3 linked regions of the Arabidopsis thaliana genome follow. Each later gene encodes a partner of the first gene's protein in a complex. Each region holds a gene or a part of one and is shown in the gene's direction. Other genes may lie near its edges. The genes, in order: MYB3R-3, RBR1 and E2F1.

The links.
Region 2: MYB3R-3 (region 1) and RBR1 share a complex: the UniProt entries of both Arabidopsis thaliana proteins name them as parts of the DREAM-like complex.
Region 3: MYB3R-3 (region 1) and E2F1 share a complex: the UniProt entries of both Arabidopsis thaliana proteins name them as parts of the DREAM-like complex.

Annotation. Positions count from the first base shown.
Region 1 is NC_003074.8:2,877,686-2,882,986, forward strand, and holds MYB3R-3 (myb domain protein 3r-3), read left to right. Parts: upstream 1-1,667; 5' UTR 1,668-1,848; coding exon of another isoform or gene 1,849-1,890; 5' UTR 1,891-2,132; coding exon 2,133-2,374; intron 2,375-2,486; coding exon 2,487-2,538; intron 2,539-2,635; coding exon 2,636-2,693; intron 2,694-2,981; coding exon 2,982-3,076; intron 3,077-3,159; coding exon 3,160-3,263; intron 3,264-3,339; coding exon 3,340-3,468; intron 3,469-3,566; coding exon 3,567-4,443; 3' UTR 4,444-4,670; downstream 4,671-5,301. Other genes in the region: AT3G09360 (Cyclin/Brf1-like TBP-binding protein), read left to right, coding at 69-158, 364-417, 505-747. UniProt on the Arabidopsis thaliana protein: Transcription factor that binds 5'-AACGG-3' motifs in gene promoters. Transcription repressor that regulates organ growth.
Region 2 is NC_003074.8:3,913,211-3,921,187, reverse strand, and holds RBR1 (retinoblastoma-related 1), read left to right. Parts: upstream 1-1,828; 5' UTR 1,829-2,300; intron 2,301-2,740; 5' UTR 2,741-2,754; coding exon 2,755-2,838; intron 2,839-2,953; coding exon 2,954-3,058; intron 3,059-3,144; coding exon 3,145-3,287; intron 3,288-3,366; coding exon 3,367-3,463; intron 3,464-3,549; coding exon 3,550-3,596; intron 3,597-3,863; coding exon 3,864-4,056; intron 4,057-4,187; coding exon 4,188-4,254; intron 4,255-4,340; coding exon 4,341-4,520; intron 4,521-4,620; coding exon 4,621-5,676; intron 5,677-5,771; coding exon 5,772-5,934; intron 5,935-6,032; coding exon 6,033-6,105; intron 6,106-6,226; coding exon 6,227-6,403; intron 6,404-6,496; coding exon 6,497-6,616; intron 6,617-6,698; coding exon 6,699-6,831; intron 6,832-6,923; coding exon 6,924-7,036; intron 7,037-7,144; coding exon 7,145-7,260; intron 7,261-7,342; coding exon 7,343-7,517; 3' UTR 7,518-7,839; downstream 7,840-7,977. Other genes in the region: AT3G12290 (Amino acid dehydrogenase family protein), read right to left, coding at 1-92, 201-413, 521-678, 852-1,035, 1,484-1,597. UniProt on the Arabidopsis thaliana protein: Key regulator of entry into cell division. Acts as a transcription repressor of E2F target genes, whose activity is required for progress from the G1 to the S phase of the cell cycle.
Region 3 is NC_003076.8:7,358,883-7,365,076, forward strand, and holds E2F1 (E2F transcription factor 1), read left to right. Parts: upstream 1-1,652; 5' UTR 1,653-1,866; coding exon 1,867-2,049; intron 2,050-2,519; coding exon 2,520-2,682; intron 2,683-2,813; coding exon 2,814-2,870; intron 2,871-2,951; coding exon 2,952-3,037; intron 3,038-3,116; coding exon 3,117-3,205; intron 3,206-3,299; coding exon 3,300-3,354; intron 3,355-3,812; coding exon 3,813-3,865; intron 3,866-3,939; coding exon 3,940-3,990; intron 3,991-4,067; coding exon 4,068-4,116; intron 4,117-4,203; coding exon 4,204-4,269; intron 4,270-4,349; coding exon 4,350-4,423; intron 4,424-4,508; coding exon 4,509-4,779; intron 4,780-4,909; coding exon 4,910-4,979; intron 4,980-5,095; coding exon 5,096-5,238; 3' UTR 5,239-5,623; downstream 5,624-6,194. Other genes in the region: AT5G22210 (aspartyl/glutamyl-tRNA (Asn/Gln) amidotransferase subunit B), read left to right, coding at 667-909; OFP10 (Ovate family protein), read left to right, coding at 5,807-6,194. UniProt on the Arabidopsis thaliana protein: Transcription activator that binds DNA cooperatively with DP proteins through the E2 recognition site, 5'-TTTC[CG]CGC-3' found in the promoter region of a number of genes whose products are involved in cell cycle regulation or in DNA replication.

The DNA of each region.
Region 1 (5,301 bases):
ATGATACCCATTGATGACATATGGTTTCTCAATCAATTTCTGATTCTTTTTTCTCTCTCTTCATATAGGAAAAGCAACAAAAAAAAGCTGAGGAAGCAAAGAACGCGGCTCCTCCAGCCACAGCAGTGGAGGCGGTACGCCGAACGCTTGATAAAAAGGTTAGAATGTCAGCTTCTTTGATACCTTGATACTTGAAAACGAATATGCAAAAAAAGATAAACCGAGTATGCCATGTATCATCTGTTAAAAACCTGGCCTGGAAGTACATAGTCAACAACATGGCTGTCGAAATTATTAGCATTGAAGAAACTTTAGAGTCTGTGTTTCTTCCTTTTTCCTGATTTTGAGTGTTGACTCTTACAGAGACTTAGTTCGGTGATCAACTACGATGTTTTGGAGTCGCTATTTGATACATCCGTAAGTTTTTGATTACCTCTTCTTGTATCCTCAATTCTCATCACTTTTTGAGGTCTTTACAATTTTGCTTCTCTTTTCTTCTTTCAGGCACCTGAGAAATCACCCAAGAGGTCGAAAACAGAGACAGACATTGAGAAGAAGAAGGAAGAGAACAAGGAAATGAAGAGTAATGAACATGAGAATGGTGAAAATGAAGATGAAGATGAAGAGGATGAAGAAGAAGGCAATGTAGAATCATACGACATGAAGACAGATTTTCAAAACGGCGAGAAATTCTATGAAGAGGACGAGGAAGAAGAAGAGGATGGTAATGATTTTGGATTGTATTGATGATATGTATTGTGAAACACAAGAGTTTTAATTTCTTTTGTTTTGCCGGATTAGTTGATTTTATTTGCATTAATATAGGAGAACCCCAACTAAATTTATTCTTTATTATCAGTAACAAATATTTAAGATTTAAAAGAAAAAAAAGTTCACACAAATGATCTATTTATTTTTACAATTCAAGTGGTACTGACTAAGAAATGAAAAACCACTAACTTAATTAATTTAATAAAATCTATATGTATTTAATTTTGATAATTTTATTTTCCTTGTTTATGATAATTCTAATTTCTATCAGATAACAACTAACAATCACTGAACTTATCTCACCTATTTGATGAGCTAAATGTATTTTAAATTTATTTTTCTATAAAGATATAACTGAAACAAAAGTGATGACTTTTTATGAAAATTCCCAAAATCAAATACCAGAAAATTCAATTTTAAACAAAATGTGTCGGTCCGGATGATCTTACATCTAGCTTGGTTTTACAGGATAGTATTTAAGAAGAATCATAAAGTTCATCTCAAACCAAATCCGACGGTCCAGAGTCACCTGCAAAGCTTGGCATCGTATACGTGTTCAGTGGTCAACGGATCAGCTACGAGTGCCGTTTGAGGTTCAAACTTCTGTTTCTGAGGTTAACTCTCTACCGTTAACGTCCGTTAGTGTACCTTCTAACCTTGACGACTTTTCCACTTTCCAAAAGATAACGACGGCGTTAAATTGGTCTATTTTACTGAACCAGCTTTAACCAGAATTAGATTGCATTACATTCAACTCGTGCTTATGGATAAATATCAGTTCGGTTTGGAGAAAATAGGTTACTTAAGGTAAAAAGAACGGCAAGTAACGGTGTGACGTCAGCAGAAGAAGTATTCGTTATAATAGTGAGAGAGAGAGAGATAAAACTTAGGGAACCCTTTTTTATGTTTTATTTTCTCGCTTTGTTTCGATCAAGTCTTCTCTTTCTCTCTCTATCCCTCTCTCTCTGGTTCAACGGGCAAAGTATTTTTCGAATAAAGTTTTGGTTTTTTTTTTAACGTTCCTTTCGCCTTCTTTCTTCTTCTTCTGCTGGTGAATTCGTGTATCTATCTATCTCGATGAGCTCCACTTTTAATCCAGCCGCTTCTTCTCCAGATGAGGTTAGTTTTTGTGTATCGAATCTGAATTTTTAAGGGTTTTGTTCTTGTGATCAGATTCTAGTGAAATTGAGTTCTTTGTTGTTTGGCTCTGATTCGAAACGAATTTAACTTTATTGAAACTATAAATTTTTGTGATTACAATTGTTATAAACCCTAATTTTGCTGTGGTTGGTGTTAATGTTGAGCTGTTTACTGAATTCGTGATTTGTGAGATCTGGGTTCTGTCTGCTTTGTGTTTTACGATGATTGCTTTTTTAGGGTTTCTCTGTTTCTTATCAAAGTCTGGATCTTTTTTTTCTTTCATTGAGATGATGGATCTTCAGGAAGAAACAGGTGAAGTGAAAATTGAGGATCAGTGTGTAGAAAATAAGCAATCAACACCTGCTTCGTGCTCTTCTGTATCTGAAGGCAGTGCTGGTAGTTCCCACAAGTCACCTACAATTGCAAGTCCTGCCACAGTATCACCTACTCATAGGTACCTCGGGTTAGTTCGTCTCCTTCTTCTTCTTCCTTGTTTTGTATCTCCTCCGCAGCACTCGTTTGCGAATTTGCATCTTTTCTACAAGAGATTGATGTTGATAGTGTTTGGTATGCAGGAGGACGAGTGGCCCTATAAGGCGAGCCAAAGGTGGGTGGACTCCGGAAGAGGTTAGTATTGAGTATTGACTAGTGATTGCTTTTGACCAATATCAATTTTGGATCAGTAGTTCGAAATTCAAGATGTGAGTTGTTTTACTTAATGCAGGATGAGACATTGAGACAAGCAGTTGACACGTTTAAAGGCAAGAGCTGGAAGAACATAGGTAAGTCTCTTCTTCTTTTTAGATTCTAGTTCTCATATTAACAAGAGTAATGTCAGTGCTACAACATACTCCATAGATTTGTGGTTCGAATATTAAAGTTGGAGCCTACTTGCTTACAGTAACTATTAGTTCCATACTCTTGTCTCTGTAGTTTTATGAGTTACTCTTGTATGTTAACTTGATCATCTGAGGCTGAGCATCTAGTAGAAAGACTTTCTTTTACGTTTGTTTCCGTTTTGTTCCGTGAAGCATTTAGTATTGTTTGAATTGGTGTATTCATTTTTGCAGCGAAATCTTTCCCTGATAGAACTGAAGTTCAATGCCTGCATCGGTGGCAGAAAGTTCTAAATCCAGACCTTATTAAGGGACCTTGGACACATGAGGTTGATTCTGTTTCTGATTTTATTTATTATTTGGCTTCATTTTTTATGTGAAATACGAAGGCTTAAAGTTTGTTGTTTTGCAGGAGGATGAGAAAATCGTTGAACTGGTTGAAAAATACGGGCCTGCGAAATGGTCTATTATCGCACAGTCTTTACCAGGTCGAATTGGGAAGCAATGCCGAGAGAGGTAGTTAATTCATATGAGCCAAGCATTTTTCTTATAGTTATATTGGAAGCTTTAATGTGTTTTGATATGTATGCAGGTGGCATAACCATTTGAATCCTGATATTAACAAGGATGCTTGGACCACAGAGGAAGAAGTAGCTCTCATGAATGCTCATCGAAGCCACGGAAACAAATGGGCTGAAATTGCTAAGGTCTTACCCGGCAGGTATTTTTACTTTTCTTGGCATGCGTCATTGGAGTTGAGACTTTAGAGAAGGGTTAGCTTCTGGGTTTAATGAAGGTTTTACTTAAAACTTGCTGCAGGACTGATAATGCAATAAAGAACCATTGGAATAGTTCATTGAAAAAGAAGTCAGAATTCTACTTATTGACTGGTAGGTTACCACCACCAACAACAACAAGGAATGGTGTTCCTGATAGTGTAACCAAACGTTCATCGTCTGCTCAGAAAAGGGTTTTTGGTTCAGTTGCTCAAACCTCATCAGTAACTACAGATGTAAACAATCTCGCTGAAGACGGAAATGGCCAAATAAACTCATCTGTTCCTGTCGAAGAAGTAGTAGCTGCTTCACGAATGACTAGTCTTAATGAGTATGCTCGTTCTCCTCAGTTGCCTAACCCAGAGCCATTGCCAGAGAATGGTGGAGCTGCAAATAATGGTTATCATCTGTACTACACGCCTCAAATAGACTATTACAGGGCGTCAGAAGTGGATACGCAGCGTATGTATGGGAATGAATGTGGTTGCAGTCCAAGCGCATCACCAGTTAGCTTCTTCACTCCACCGCCGTGTAGGAATGTGCACAGTAACGGTTCGACTCCAAGAAGTCCTGAATCTTACCTGAGAGAAGCTGGTAGAACTTACCCAAACACACCATCCATATTCAGGAAAAGACGACCCAGGGTTGTTGTTCAGGATAACAACAACGCCAAGAAAACAGATGAAGCTAAAGAGGTTGATCAAAAGGTGAATGATGGTAAGGATAGTTCAGAGATTCAAAATAATGGATCAAATGCTTACAATCTATCTCCTCCATATCGGATAAGATCGAAAAGGACAGCAGTTTTCAAATCAAGACAGCTTGAGTTTATATCTAGAGAGGAAGAGAAAGCTGATGATGAAACCAAATCATCTGAGAAAGATATGTTGATTGATGGAGATTCTCAACTCCTAGGCTAAACAGTGACTAGATGATTACACGCTGAATGTTGTTTCATTGGTTATATTTTTATTTTTGGGTTAATGTTAGAGATGTTAGATGTATTTAGTCCAAAGAATAATTTACACCTCATAGTTGAGCTAGGTTTTTTTTTTCCATAACAAAAAAAAGATCTTCAGTAGTGGGCCATAGAAATTGGTGCATGTTCTTGATTATTTGATTGATATGCGTCTTTGATTATTTGAACATTGAATCATTCGTTCACCGATGTGAACAATATCACTCTGCTTTGAATTTTTTTCTAAATAGACTTTATGATGTCATTATTCAAACGGGTAGGTAATTTACAAATCATAAGATAGTTTCACATTGACAAAAGTGTTTTAGATCAAATCAGCTATATTCTTTGGCAACTCGTCAATCTGAGTACTGTAGTACTGCTCAATGTCCCGGAGAATCTTGATCTCGTCGATTTTAACAAAGTTGATTGCAACACCCTTACGTCCGAAACGACCAGACCGTCCAATACGATGAATGTAGAGCTCACGGTTGTTAGGGAGATCATAATTGATGACAAGAGAAACTTGATCCACATCAATCCCACGTGCAAACATATCTGTTGTGATCAAAACGCGACTTTCACCTGTCCGAAACTGATTCATGATCTCGTCTCTCTCCTTCTGAGGCATGTCCCCATGCATTGATGAGACAGTGAAGTTGCTGCTCCTCATTTTCTCACTAATATAGTCCACTTTTCGTTTTGTGTTGCAGAAGATAACAGCTTTAGTGATGATAAGTGTGTCGTAAAGATCACATATTGTCTCAAATTTCCACTCCTCTTTCTCTACAGAAATAAAAAAGTTTTTAATTCCCTCAAG
Region 2 (7,977 bases), 1.0 Mb from region 1:
AACCGGTATCCTGATTTCTTGCTCGGGTCGCTGACTGCATTAGTTCCAACATCAATTACTGCAGCCCCTGGCTTTATCCAGTTGCCCTTAATCTGAAATGTCAAAACGATAGTATATTTGAATTGTAAACTATTCACATTGATCTACAAGAGGTAGACTAAATTATCTTCTAAATGACAATGAAAATGTATGAAAATCACCATGTGGGCTTGTCCGCATGCAGCAATAACAATGTCAGCTTCCCGTATGATAGCCTCAGGATCCTTGGTGTGAGAATGTACAGTTGTGACAGTAGCATCAGCCTTGAGCAAAAGAAGTGAAACGGGCAAACCAACAATGTTACTCCGACCTACAACAACTGCTCGTTGCCCCTTTATCTTTACGCCGCTTCTAGCTAGGAGTTCCAAACATCCCTGCACACACAGAAAATCACCTCATAGTTGATACAGAAGAAAAACAGAACACTGAGATTTCTCGCTTGAAAGAGACTGAAGTCTATATGCAAAAAAAGGAGAAGTACCTTTGGGGTGCAAGGAAGGAAGAGGGGTTCTCTGCCTTTCATGGCTAGCTTACCAATATTCAAAGGATGGAAGCCATCGACATCTTTATCAATGCTGATTGCACCCAATATATGCTCCTCATTAATATGTTTCGGCAATGGGAGTTGAACTAATATGCCTGCAAATCAAACACCAAAGCTTATATAAGCACAGGAGAGCAAGGAATGTTTGCTTTATACCAAAACGAAAGACTTGCATAGACATTAAAGTTTCTATCTATCCTTAATAGTTTAGACTAATGATAACCGAGAAGACATACAAAATCAAGTATTATTTACCGCCACAACTAACCATGGACATCCGGATTTGAATTTAGTTCATGAACTTTGCTAATAAGATCAGCTTCAGAAACTTCCTCTGGTAGGCCCACGTCAAATGACTTAATCCCAACCTCAGCGCACGCTTTCCTCTTCGTATTCACATAGGTCTGTGAATCCTTTCGGCTCCCAACAATAACTACAGCTAGTCCTGGGACCTGCATGAAGGTAAAATCAGATTCGATTGAATCTCGTACATTCTTGAAACTATATAAAGGGGTCCAACTGAAGCAACTGAACAAACGCACTAAACCATTTATTACACATACTCTCGTTCCTTCTATTTTATTACAATGATATCAAACATTATAAGCTTAGCACACACTATCTGTATAAATAAGATAGTATGCCACTTGAAGTAATGCAGGCAGCTCAAAAATCCAGCGAAACAAAATAACAGTGATCTAACTAAAATGGAGCTTACATTTGACCCTGTTAAGCATTTTCAATAGAAGGTTGTGATCATAGCTGCTTAAATCTAGTCATTTTAAACCATAAAGCTAAAAGAGAGTAAATTTTCAATAGTGCTATCATCTTATAAAAGAACGGAGAATTATAAGGAGAGACATGTCAAGATTAGGACACTGATTCATAAGATGCGTTTACCTTGCCGTGTTTCTCAGATAGACCGCGAACTTCCTCGGCGATCTCTGATCTGATGGTATGAGCAATCGCCTTGCCGTCGATTATCTTCGCCGTGTGATCAGATGATGACGCCATGAGCCACTAGGAATTTGCCTCGTGTCGGAAATATCTAATTCTCTCTCTGGATCCACTCACACTCGAAGATGACGAAGAAGACTTAATCTGAATCCATCCGCGGATAGGACACTCATACTTCTGCAACCAAACGTTCTACAATGGCAAATATGTAATTTCCCGCGTGACCTAAACTAGAAACGGCATCGTATTAAGGGTGGGCCCAATCATAACTCACACGAGGCTTTGTCGCGGTCACGAAAACCCAGACGGCGTTAATGGCCCACTCCGTTTGTTTCGACCCCGCCGTGACGGCGAATCTTTCCCTCTCAGCGTTTCACGCAACAGTAAGTAAGTTTTGGCGGTAAAATTGGGTCACAGATGGGTACGTGTCGATTTAATAGTGGTTGAAAGCGCGCGAATATAATTGTATACGTATGTGTATGTATTCTCCGTGTTGTTTTTCCCGCGCGAGATATATCCTTTTTTAGGGTTTGCCGCATAATCAGACCCCATTCTAGAGAGAGAAGAGGGAAGTCAGGTGAAGATAGAGAGAGACACTGAGAGGAGGGAAAATTTGTAGGGTTTTCGGAGATCTCTGTGATTCCTCTGAATTTGTCGAATTTTTTGGAGGAGGCGTTAGAAGTCGGGCTTCTTAAAAATCAGATCTTCTGCTCAGGCTTTAATCGGCGACGTCTGGTATTGGGATCTGTGACACAAAAAGGTAAGATCTTTCTCTATTGCCTATCCTTTGATTTGAAATCTTATCCTCTAGGTGGTTTATCTGAAATTTTCTATTGATATTTCGCTATTCGATTGTAAGTTGGTGAGAGAATTCTCCAAAAACAAAAAAGAGAAAAACTTTGAATGAATATTTAAGATAACATCTGGGTAAAATTTTTCCGGAGTGGTGGGTTTTAGATTATGCCCCAATTTCTCTTCTTTTTTTCCCCCAAATTTTGTCTTTCTGCCATGTTTTGGGAAATTGGGAGTTTGTTTTCTCATGTCTGTTAGTGTGTTCTTCCGAATGGGTTGGGCATGGTTCCTATTGAATTTCAGTGTGATTAAATTAACAAATCTCTTTGCTTGAAAAGTCCCTTTTTCTTCGTCTTCAGTTAGCAGTTTAATTGGAAGTAAAATTAGCTTGATTTTGCATGTTTTCAGCTGCGTTGGAGACTATGGAAGAAGTTCAGCCTCCAGTGACCCCGCCCATTGAACCAAATGGGAAAAGAAGCGAAGCCTCTCTCTTGGACATATGCGAGGTTTACTCTTCTCTTTGCTGATCTAGTTGCATTTGTTTAGTTGAAGATACCATTTGAGTTCTCTCGGAAATTTTGAGGACTAGCTCTAATCCCTGTAGTTGATTTCTTATTGCAGAAAGTTCTGTCTCTTGATGGGAGCACTTGCGATGAAGCTTTGAAGTTGTTTACAGAAACCAAACGAATTTTGTCAGCAAGCATGTCTAACATTGGAAGTGGAACGGTGAAATACATTTTTCCTCTAACTTCTCTTTTATCAGTTAACTGTGGTTTCATTATGACTAAATCCTTTTTTCTTCTTCTTATTAGCGGGAAGAAGTAGAGAGGTTCTGGTTTGCGTTTATTCTCTATTCAGTGAAGAGGCTTAGTGTGAGAAAAGAAGCGGATGGTCTGTCAGTGTCTGGTGATAATGAGTTTAATCTATGTCAGATACTGAGGGCTCTGAAGCTAAAGTAAGTAGTGTTCAATTCTTCCTTCCTTGTCATTCTTAAATTCATTTGTAGTGACGATTTTCCTCTTTTCTGTTTATAGTATTGTGGATTTTTTTAAAGAGTTACCTCAGTTTGTGGTCAAGGCTGGATCTGTACTGGGTGAACTTTACGGCGCAGACTGGGAGAACAGACTTCAGGTTTTGACTAACATCTTTTAAATATACTTCTACTTCTATTATATCATTGTTAAATATGCTTCTATTAACTAATTTTTACTTACTAGGCAAAGGAGGTGCAGGCTAACTTTGTGCATCTTAGCCTTCTAAGCAAGTGAGTTTAGCTCCCTTCCTATTTTACATTTATCTTTGTTTTGTGTAAGAATAGTTATTGACATAGATTTCATATTTTGGACCTGCAACTTAGAAGCAAATTTTCTTCCTATGCAATAATCAGAATATGGGCTTGCAATATTCCTTCAATTTTAAATTAATTAAGATTTAGAGTTACAGATTTCTGGTTTTCATGTGATTATATTCTGTGAATTGTTTTAAGGACATGTTAAAGTATGATGTTTTTGGTACCTTTCCTTGGTAACAGATACTACAAACGTGGGTTCCGGGAATTCTTTTTGACATATGATGCAAACGCAGAAAAGAACTCAGCAAACTCTTCTACCTATTTGCTGGATAGTTATCGTTTTGGATGGCTACTCTTTTTGGCACTCCGAAACCATGCGTTTAGTCGATTTAAGGACCTCGTGACATGCTCAAATGGCGTAGTTTCTATATTGGTTAGTGACTACCTGTGGAGCTCTCCCTAATCTTTCATTCATTTTAGTCTTGCTGTACATTATTACTTGAAAGATGCTTCGTTTAATATAACGCAATTGAAGTATAGGCTAACTCCTTTTCATGTTATCAGGCTATTTTGATCATACATGTTCCTTGTCGGTTTAGAAATTTCAGCATCCAAGATTCTTCTCGCTTTGGTGAGTGTTTATCTTTTCTTCTATCCCGATAACCATGGCACCATAGAATGTTTATCATCTATTTTCATTTATGTGATGAATCTCAGTTAAGAAAGGTGACAAAGGTGTAGACTTGGTTGCATCACTTTGCAAGATATATGACGCCTCAGAAGATGAGTTGAGGATAGTAATTGACAAGGCAAATAATTTGGTAGAAACCATACTGAAGAAAAAGCCATCTCCAGCATCTGAGTGCCAAACTGACAAGCTAGATAATATTGACCCAGGTTGGTCTAAAATCATTTTCCTTCTTCAATTAAAGAATCATGTGAGTTCATTGAACAGTTGCCTGATTGTTCTTCGAATCTATATGGTGTTTTACTGCAGATGGCTTGACCTACTTTGAGGATTTACTGGAAGAGACGTCCATCTCAACTAGCTTAATTACACTTGAAAAGGATTACTATGATGGTAAAGGCGAACTTGATGAGAGGGTATTCATCAATGAAGAGGATAGCTTACTTGGATCTGGAAGCTTATCTGCAGGAGCTGTTAATATTACTGGTGTTAAGAGGAAAATTGATGCTTTGAGCTCACCTGCAAGGACATTTATAAGCCCACTTTCTCCTCATAAGTCGCCTGCTGCTAAGACAAATGGTATTAGCGGTGCTACCAAGTTGGCAGCAACACCAGTGAGCACAGCAATGACAACTGCCAAGTGGCTCAGGACTGTCATATCCCCGCTTCTGCCAAAACCTTCTCCTGGGTTGGAACATTTCCTTAAATCATGTGATAGGGATATAACAAATGACGTCACACGAAGAGCACACATAATATTGGAAGCTATTTTCCCAAATAGTTCCCTTGGTGCCCAATGTGGAGGTGGAAGTTTGCAAGCTGTTGACCTGATGGATGACATATGGGCAGAGCAGCGCAGATTAGAAGCTTGTAAGTTATACTACAGAGTTCTTGAGGCAATGTGTAAAGCAGAAGCTCAGATTTTGCATGCAAATAATCTGAACTCTTTATTGACAAATGAGAGGTTCCATAGATGCATGCTTGCTTGCTCAGCTGAATTGGTACTGGCTACCCACAAAACAATTACAATGTTGTTCCCAGCTGTTCTGGAGAGGACTGGGATCACAGCCTTTGATCTCAGCAAGGTAATTGAGAGTTTCATACGACATGAAGATTCTCTGCCTAGAGAGTTGAGACGACATCTGAATTCACTGGAGGAACGGCTTCTAGAGAGTATGGTATGGGAGAAAGGCTCTTCAATGTACAATTCTCTGATTGTTGCCAGGCCATCGCTTGCATTGGAGATAAATCAGCTCGGTTTACTAGCTGAACCAATGCCATCTCTGGATGCAATCGCAGCACTTATTAATTTCTCTGACGGAGCAAATCATGCATCATCTGTACAAAAGCATGAAACTTGTCCAGGTAGTTTTATTTGTTTCTGAATTAAAGCAGTTTTCCAACCTGTTGTTAATGGTATGATTTTCTTACCAAAAATTGTCAAATTTGCTGCCATATAGGACAAAATGGGGGGATTAGATCGCCCAAAAGATTATGTACTGATTACCGCAGCATTCTAGTTGAACGCAATTCCTTTACATCACCAGTAAAGGATCGTCTGTTGGCCTTAGGCAACGTTAAATCCAAGATGCTGCCACCTCCGTTGCAGTCTGCATTTGCCAGGTACATTTTGAGTAACTATGAGTAGAAATGGAGAGTTAGTTTACCTATCTAGTTGTCCCTGTACTTGTTAAGTAACCTCTTCGGATTTATGTCTACAGCCCAACACGGCCCAACCCAGGAGGTGGAGGAGAAACTTGTGCAGAAACTGGAATCAATATTTTCTTCACAAAGGTAGGTCTGTGAGATCTTTGGATCTACTACTAATCGTTTGGTTAGATGATGTACTACAAAACACGGTATTGATTCTTCATTTTCGGCTGGGAATTGTGTTAAATGTGGTGGCTCTTCCCAGATTAATAAATTGGCTGCTGTAAGAATCAATGGAATGGTGGAAAGACTACAACTTTCACAGCAAATAAGGGAGAGTGTGTATTGTTTCTTCCAACATGTACTTGCTCAGCGGACTTCTCTTTTATTCAGTCGACACATTGACCAGATCATTCTCTGTTGCTTCTACGGAGTGGCCAAGGTGAGTAGTGTGATTCAAAGGGTTTAACTATATGTCATCTGGTTTACAATGGCTTCTCTTACACTTACACTTTTTCCATGAATCACCTTGTAGATATCCCAAATGAGCCTGACTTTCAGGGAAATCATATACAACTACCGGAAGCAACCACAGTGTAAACCATTAGTTTTCCGCAGCGTTTATGTGGATGCGTTACAATGTCGCCGTCAAGGGGTATATATACACTCTTAACCTTATGCTGAAAAGTTTCTTTACTCGGTGGAGAAGACTAAATTTGTGACAATGACTTGAACAGAGAATAGGGCCAGATCATGTTGACATCATCACATTCTACAATGAAATATTTATTCCTGCCGTAAAGCCGCTGCTGGTGGAGCTAGGTCCTGTAAGAAACGACCGGGCTGTGGAAGCCAATAATAAGCCTGAAGGTAGTTAAGAAAGGCCAGATACTTGTTAGATGTAAGCTTTGTCTATCAATTTAGTCCCTAAGTTAAATGATCGTCTTATTTTGGATTCACAGGTCAATGTCCCGGATCGCCAAAGGTGTCTGTGTTTCCAAGTGTTCCAGACATGTCCCCTAAAAAAGTATCTGCAGTGCACAATGTTTATGTTTCTCCTCTTCGGGGATCAAAGGTAAAGAAGATCATAGTGCTTAACTCTTTATCATGATATGACTAAGTCTTGAGGAGGAGGTAGGTGACAAGATTGTTTGGTTACCTTCCATGTGTTGTGTGTTTGCAGATGGATGCTCTTATTTCACACAGTACAAAGAGTTACTATGCTTGTGTTGGAGAGAGTACACATGCTTACCAGAGCCCTTCAAAGGACCTATCTGCCATCAACAACCGCTTGAACAAGTAAGTAGAAAAATCACGTCTCTCATCAGCTTCTTCCATAAAACCAATCACTGACCCAATCCAATTTCATCTGGTGTCACAGCAGCAGCAGCAACCGCAAGAGGACGCTAAACTTTGACGCAGAAGCAGGGATGGTCAGCGATTCCATGGTAGCAAATAGCCTTAACCTCCAAAACCAAAATCAAAACCAAAATGGAAGCGATGCATCGTCCTCAGGTGGTGCCGCACCCCTTAAAACCGAGCCAACAGATTCATAGATATCTCTCTCTACTTGCTACACCAACTTCTCTTCAGTTATAGCATCTGTAAATCCTTATGTTGCAGAGTTTGCTTTTATGTTTAGCTTTCTAGTTTATAGTGATCACCTCAGGCTATGAGCGGATGGATCCCTTTATTGTTTCTTTTTTCTTTTTTTATCTTAGTTAAGTCAGTCTTAATAAGCATTAATAAATGTCTTTTTCTTGTTCACTCTTTCTAACTGTGTTCGGTGTCCCATCTACTAAATTTATTTTCCACTTTAAAAAAAAACAATTTGTGACATTTACTTAACTTGGAACATATACAGTACAGTTAAGCAATTAACTATAACCAACAAATTGTCTGAACAATTGTCTGTCTTACCTTTTTAGCTCTCTATAAATTTACGCCGCAAAACAACACTTTATGTCGATTTCAGAATAACTTACTACTCCAGCATATTTCTCAAAACTTTCTCAA
Region 3 (6,194 bases), on another chromosome or scaffold:
GGTAAAATCTCTTGAATCTATATCATATCGCTAAGCTTAATTTGCTGGCTAGGATTTTACCTGATTTTTTGGGTATATAGTGATGATAGAAATTTGAAGTAATTTCTCCAGTTTTCTCATTGATTTAGGGGTTTTAAATGTAGACTTAGTATTCATGAATGAGTTGATTTCTAATTGATATTATCATGTTAATCATCTTGAAGAATTGACCTTGAATTGGTGGTTCATAGATGTCTCATCTTGTACAATTTATTTGCTCGAGGATCTTATGATTCTTGGACATAGTGGAACAAAGATAGCTTTAAAAATGGACGCTGAGATGATTACTTGGTTGATGTATAATAGTTTGGTCTCTTAATTAAGGTTTTGATGGTCCTTAAGGTTAGTGTATAGCTTCTATAGAACTTTTTAGTCTCTCCTTTTAGATGGTTATGACGAATTGACGATTGTGTTATTCACGAGATAATTTGCATCCGAACATGTAAATGTTACACACTTGCAATATTGGTGTGCATGGAGAAATTATAGATTGTGTTAAGTGTTAATCCCAAAATGCATCTGCTAAAAGTGTTGCATAATCATCTTGTTGACTAGATAACTTGTTTTTGTGGTTTGGACAATGTGACGATACTATATATGATGTATGTAAAGATCGGGTTTTGCAAGATGGGAAACAAAGCTACAACGGTGAAAGAAGAACGCGAAGAGATCCATTTGAAGATTGTACCTCCATTGGACAAAGTTTTTCTGCGTTGGCTCGCAAGAGATCTCCAGAGAGTTCATGGATTCAAACCGAAGAACAACACTCGTGCGATCACTCCTCCAGATAGCTACATCGAGTTTATGCGGTTAAATGGATCGCTTGATGTAGATTTAGATGACCCTGATCTTGCCCATTTGTTCAAGTAAAAAGGGGTTCTTCTATTGTTGTCTCTGTTTGTTATGTATGAAGCTTTCAAAGTCTTAGTATCTTTTTTGATTACTCATACAGTCATACTTAAAGCTTGTGTTTTGGAAGCTCAGTCTATAAATATATATTATCTTCTCTAAACAGTATAGCATTCATAAGAGATCCAAGTGTCTGCATTCAGACGACACATGTTTCTATTGTCTTGGTGCTATGATTTGGAATCCCTATGTTTCGAGGTTCCATTTAAAAAAGTTGTTAAATGATGAGACACTCATGAGCATAATTTTCATCAATATAGTTTTGCCTCACCTATGAATTAAAAACAAAAAAACGTATAAGTTCGACAGATTTTGACGATAATTGCTCACACTTAACGCGTGTAACGGATGCTGCAACAGTTTGATGAAATTATTATGCTCCACTTCTTAACATGAATAAATCCAAAATTCATTTTTTTCCCCTCAATCTCAAGGAAATAAAACTGTATCCAAATTAGTTACATAGCTTTATTAACTTCGTTGACTTTAAAAAAAAAAAAACTTACTTAAAATTTTATAATTTTGTATTATATATAAAAATAGGATTATTATTATTTAGTAGAGAGATATTGGTAAAAAGATTTGTGTACAAAGAGAGAGATAAAGAGCGCTAATTCCCTCCACATCAGTATTCAGAACCAAACGCAACTCATTCCCTCGTTTTCTCTCTTCCTCTTCCACCGTCTCTTTTTTTTTTTTTTTTTATAATCCTTCCTCTTCTTCATCTTCTTCTCCTCTCCCGCTTTTTTTCGATTCGCCGATCTCTTCACATTCTCTTCCCGGAATCTCCGTAATTCCCGCCGTAGATCTGCTTCTTAATCGTTATTGGGATCTCTGCTTACCGGAGATCCGAGTTTCCGTGACAATTTTCGCCGTTTCTTTTTTTTTTTGGGGGATTTTTTATCGAGATTCGTTCTTATGTCTGAAGAAGTACCTCAACAATTCCCATCTTCTAAGCGGCAGCTTCATCCTTCTCTTTCTTCTATGAAGCCTCCTCTAGTTGCTCCTGGTGAGTATCACCGGTTTGATGCGGCGGAGACTCGCGGTGGTGGAGCTGTTGCTGATCAGGTTGTCTCTGACGCGATTGTGATCAAATCTACTGTAAGTCTTTTTTCTTCTCAATTTTGCTTGTGAATTTTGCTTTATAATTCTCGTGTTTTCGATTGTGTGTGAGGTTTGGTTTTATTGATTATGATTTTGATGATGTCGTTGCTTTAGATTTTGATGAGAATTGTGTCGGGATCTGCTTCTGTTGGTGTTAATTGCGTTTGGTCTCTTTTGATTAACCTTGTTTGTAGTATTGGAATTAGCATTGCAAGTACTTATTGAGTAGTTTAGTTGCTGGACTTAGGGTTTGTGGTGTTACTGTTATTGCTATTTAGAGCAGATTCATGCACTTTTGTGTTTATGTTTAGTTAAATTAGTTTCTGAATTTTGCTATGTTGGAATTGGTAAAAGTTGTGTCTATGCTTTTAGATTTCAGCATAGTGACAGTATGATGCTGATAGGATTTGATTCTGTTCAATTCGTTGATGTATTTAACTGTTCAATTTTGGTGACTTTATTGGCAGCTGAAGCGTAAGACAGATTTGGTAAACCAAATAGTTGAGGTCAATGAATTGAATACCGGTGTTCTTCAAACACCTGTATCAGGGAAAGGGGGGAAAGCCAAGAAAACTTCTAGGTCTGCGAAGTCTAATAAGTCTGGAACGCTAGCTTCTGGCTCTAATGCAGGTGAGTTTGGTTCTAAATGCTCTGTGTTAGTATGCCAATGAGAAATATTTCTTATGTGCTCATCTGAGCTAAATCTTCTTTAAAGAGTGGAGATATTGCAATGTAGTGAGAAGGATCTTTTGTGTTGGCAGGTTCTCCTGGAAATAACTTTGCACAGGCCGGTACTTGTCGATATGATAGTTCGTTAGGTAATAACTTATTTCATTAACTAATGTTTAAAAAATGTACTTTTGGATAATAAGTTTTTTTAATGATTTAATCTGCTTCAGGTCTTTTGACAAAGAAATTTATCAATTTGATAAAACAAGCAGAGGATGGTATTCTTGATCTAAACAAAGCAGCTGATACTTTAGAGGTGACATATTTGAACTCTAGACTCCCATATTGATGTATTACTTTCTGTCAAACTTAGCTGTATGTTCCTGTTGATGCAGGTACAAAAGAGAAGGATATATGATATAACCAATGTGTTAGAAGGAATAGGTTTGATAGAGAAGACGCTTAAGAACAGGATTCAGTGGAAGTAAGCATGTCTTAGAACTGTCAAATCTTGGATTCCTTCCATTTGATGACTCATGTGTGAGCGACAGTACTCTGAATTTTCTTGTCTGTCTTAGGGGTCTCGATGTCTCAAAACCAGGAGAAACAATCGAAAGCATAGCTAACCTACAGGTACAGAACATGCCTATATATTCTTTACCTTTTCATTGCACATTTCACTGCGAACTCTGTTATGCAATGCTCAGTATTATCACCAGTTTTATTATTGTTTTCACGTTAAGGGTATATCTTAGCTTGCATTGTCTTCTTGAACATCGTATGAATCTGCATTAGTATGATTCTTGTTATGCCTGTTTTCTGAGAGCTAAATGTGTTAGGAGGTAACTAGGATACTAGTAAATTTACCATACACACAAACATCGATGACATGTAACCACAAGCTCTGTTTTGTATACCCGTACTGGCACCTTTGAATGATGAGTTTCTGTTTTATGTTTGAACCTGTTGAATAAGTGGAAATTGGTACTGCAGTTTTTCTTCGATCTCAGTCACTTGCATTGATTTCTTGTTTTGGGTTTTTGGTTCGAAAAACTATTCATGTTTTATAATTCCTGTTACCAATCTTACAGGATGAAGTACAAAACCTCGCAGCTGAGGAGGCAAGATTAGATGACCAAATCAGGTATTTTCGCAGATAATTTTCCTTCCCTTTTCTGCTGTTTTGTATCATCTTTTTGAGAGTCGACCTGGTTGCAGAGAATCACAAGAAAGATTAACAAGCTTGAGTGAGGATGAAAACAACAAAAGGTAAGCGTCCCCTGCTATTTCTTCTGCCGAAAGGTACAATAAAACATATCTGTTTGTTCTGACGCTCCACTTTTTAGGTTACTGTTCGTCACTGAAAACGACATTAAGAACCTACCATGCTTCCAGGTCTGGTCTCCTTCTAGTAATTACGTGTTTCTCTTTGCCTTGCATTCTTCTCACTGGGGAAACATGTTTTTGTGGTGCCTATTTTAGAATAAGACGCTGATAGCTGTAAAGGCACCGCATGGAACAACTCTTGAGGTTCCAGATCCTGATGAGGTAAGCTTAAGAGCGCACAAAACCAAATGAGCGATGCACTGTCTGTAACGATTCTCACCTCTTATCCTGCCATTAATCAGGCTGGTGGTTATCAGAGGAGGTACAGAATCATTCTGAGAAGCACAATGGGACCAATAGACGTGTACCTAGTCAGGTAACACTGTCCTCAAACGTTATGCTTGCCCTGGATAAATCTGTAACATGGAAGTGAGACTGACATTTATATTGTGCTTTTTTAGTCAATTCGAAGAGAGCTTTGAGGACATTCCTCAGGCTGATGAACCTTCAAATGTTCCTGATGAACCCTCTAATGTCCCTGATGTACCTTCAAATCTTCCATCAACATCTGGTCTCCCTGAGAACCATGATGTATCTATGCCGATGAAAGAGGAAAGCACCGAAAGAAACATGGAAACACAGGAAGTTGATGATACGCAAAGAGTTTACTCTGACATCGAATCTCATGACTTTGTCGATGGTATCATGAAGATTGTTCCTCCAGATTTGGATGTAAGTCCCAACTGCTTCCTCAGCTTAAAATTTTCACCAATGTACATAATCACAGTCTGGAAAAGTAACCATATCTAAAAAATCATGCTTGACTTAATTCATATTTACCTGTATGTTACATTATATACAGATGGGTGTAGATTACTGGTTTCGATCAGAGGTAGGCGAAGTCAGCATCACAGACATGTGGCCAGATGAATGTATCCTTGATTTCTATCACTTTCTGTGATTTAATCTAATCTCTCTTTGAGCTTTTGAGTTTTTTCCTCCCCAAATATGATATCTGTTTAGAGCTCCTTGACTCTTTCATCATTAGCTGGACCAGACTGGAACCAGATGATTACATTTGATCAAGACCACGCTGGACCGAGCGACAACAAAATCTTGGAGCAGCCACAAACTCCATCGAGCCCAACACCAGAAGAATCCACTGCTACGAGATCACCTACAGGTAGCTGAAGTTACCATACCACATTACAAGCACCACCATATATCTGTACATAGAATCTGATTTCGGTGAAACCAGAGTTAATGTTGTACTTGTACAGTAGCTGCATTGCATTATCATAGAATAGAGATTGCAAAATAAAAGTAGAGAAACCAACCCCTTCGTTGTATTCTTCATTTTTTTTCTTTGTTAGCTTCTCAGGCTTAATATAGAATTAGCCTTAGCCCATTGATTTCTTAATATTGGTCTTGTTCATGTGAAACTGCAAAACCTTTTAGAGTTGTAGACGGGTGCTTAGTAGTTTTACATGCTCCATTTCCGGTTTACCAAAAAGGTAACCAGATCGAAACTAAAACATATTTCCGTTCATCAAAAATCTTGACGAAAACATATTGGTTCGGTTGTGGTTTGAGAGATTTCTTTTTGGTTCAAATCGGTTTCTATGTCCAATCCTTTGATATCACTCGAGATAGTTTCTTACAAATGATATCATATATAACTTTGAATTCACCTCAAGATGGTATTATTTTCCTTAAAAAAGAAATCCATCAAAATTGTGCATCTCCAAAGCAATGAGCAATGCTGAATCTCCAAGCTAAGTTAAATGAAAAAAAGGTTCCTCTTTTAACAAACTTTCCCACACCAACATCCTCACTCAATAATCTCAACTTGTTTTCTCTTCCTCTAGTAAAAAAAAAAATGTCTTTCAAGAAGATGATGAAGTATATACTCAAAACCATATTCAAACCCATTTTTATGGCATGCGGTTGCGGCTCTACCGTTCCACCTTCCTCTCACAGCCACTACACCCCGGGACCACCGGTTTCTCCCACGGTTTTACGCAGCCCATGTCCTAAGATCGATGAGAGCGTCGCGATGGCTAAAGAATCAATCAATCCGTTCGAAGATTACAAGAAGTCGATGAATCAGATGATCGAAGAGAGATATATCGAGACGGAAAGTGAAC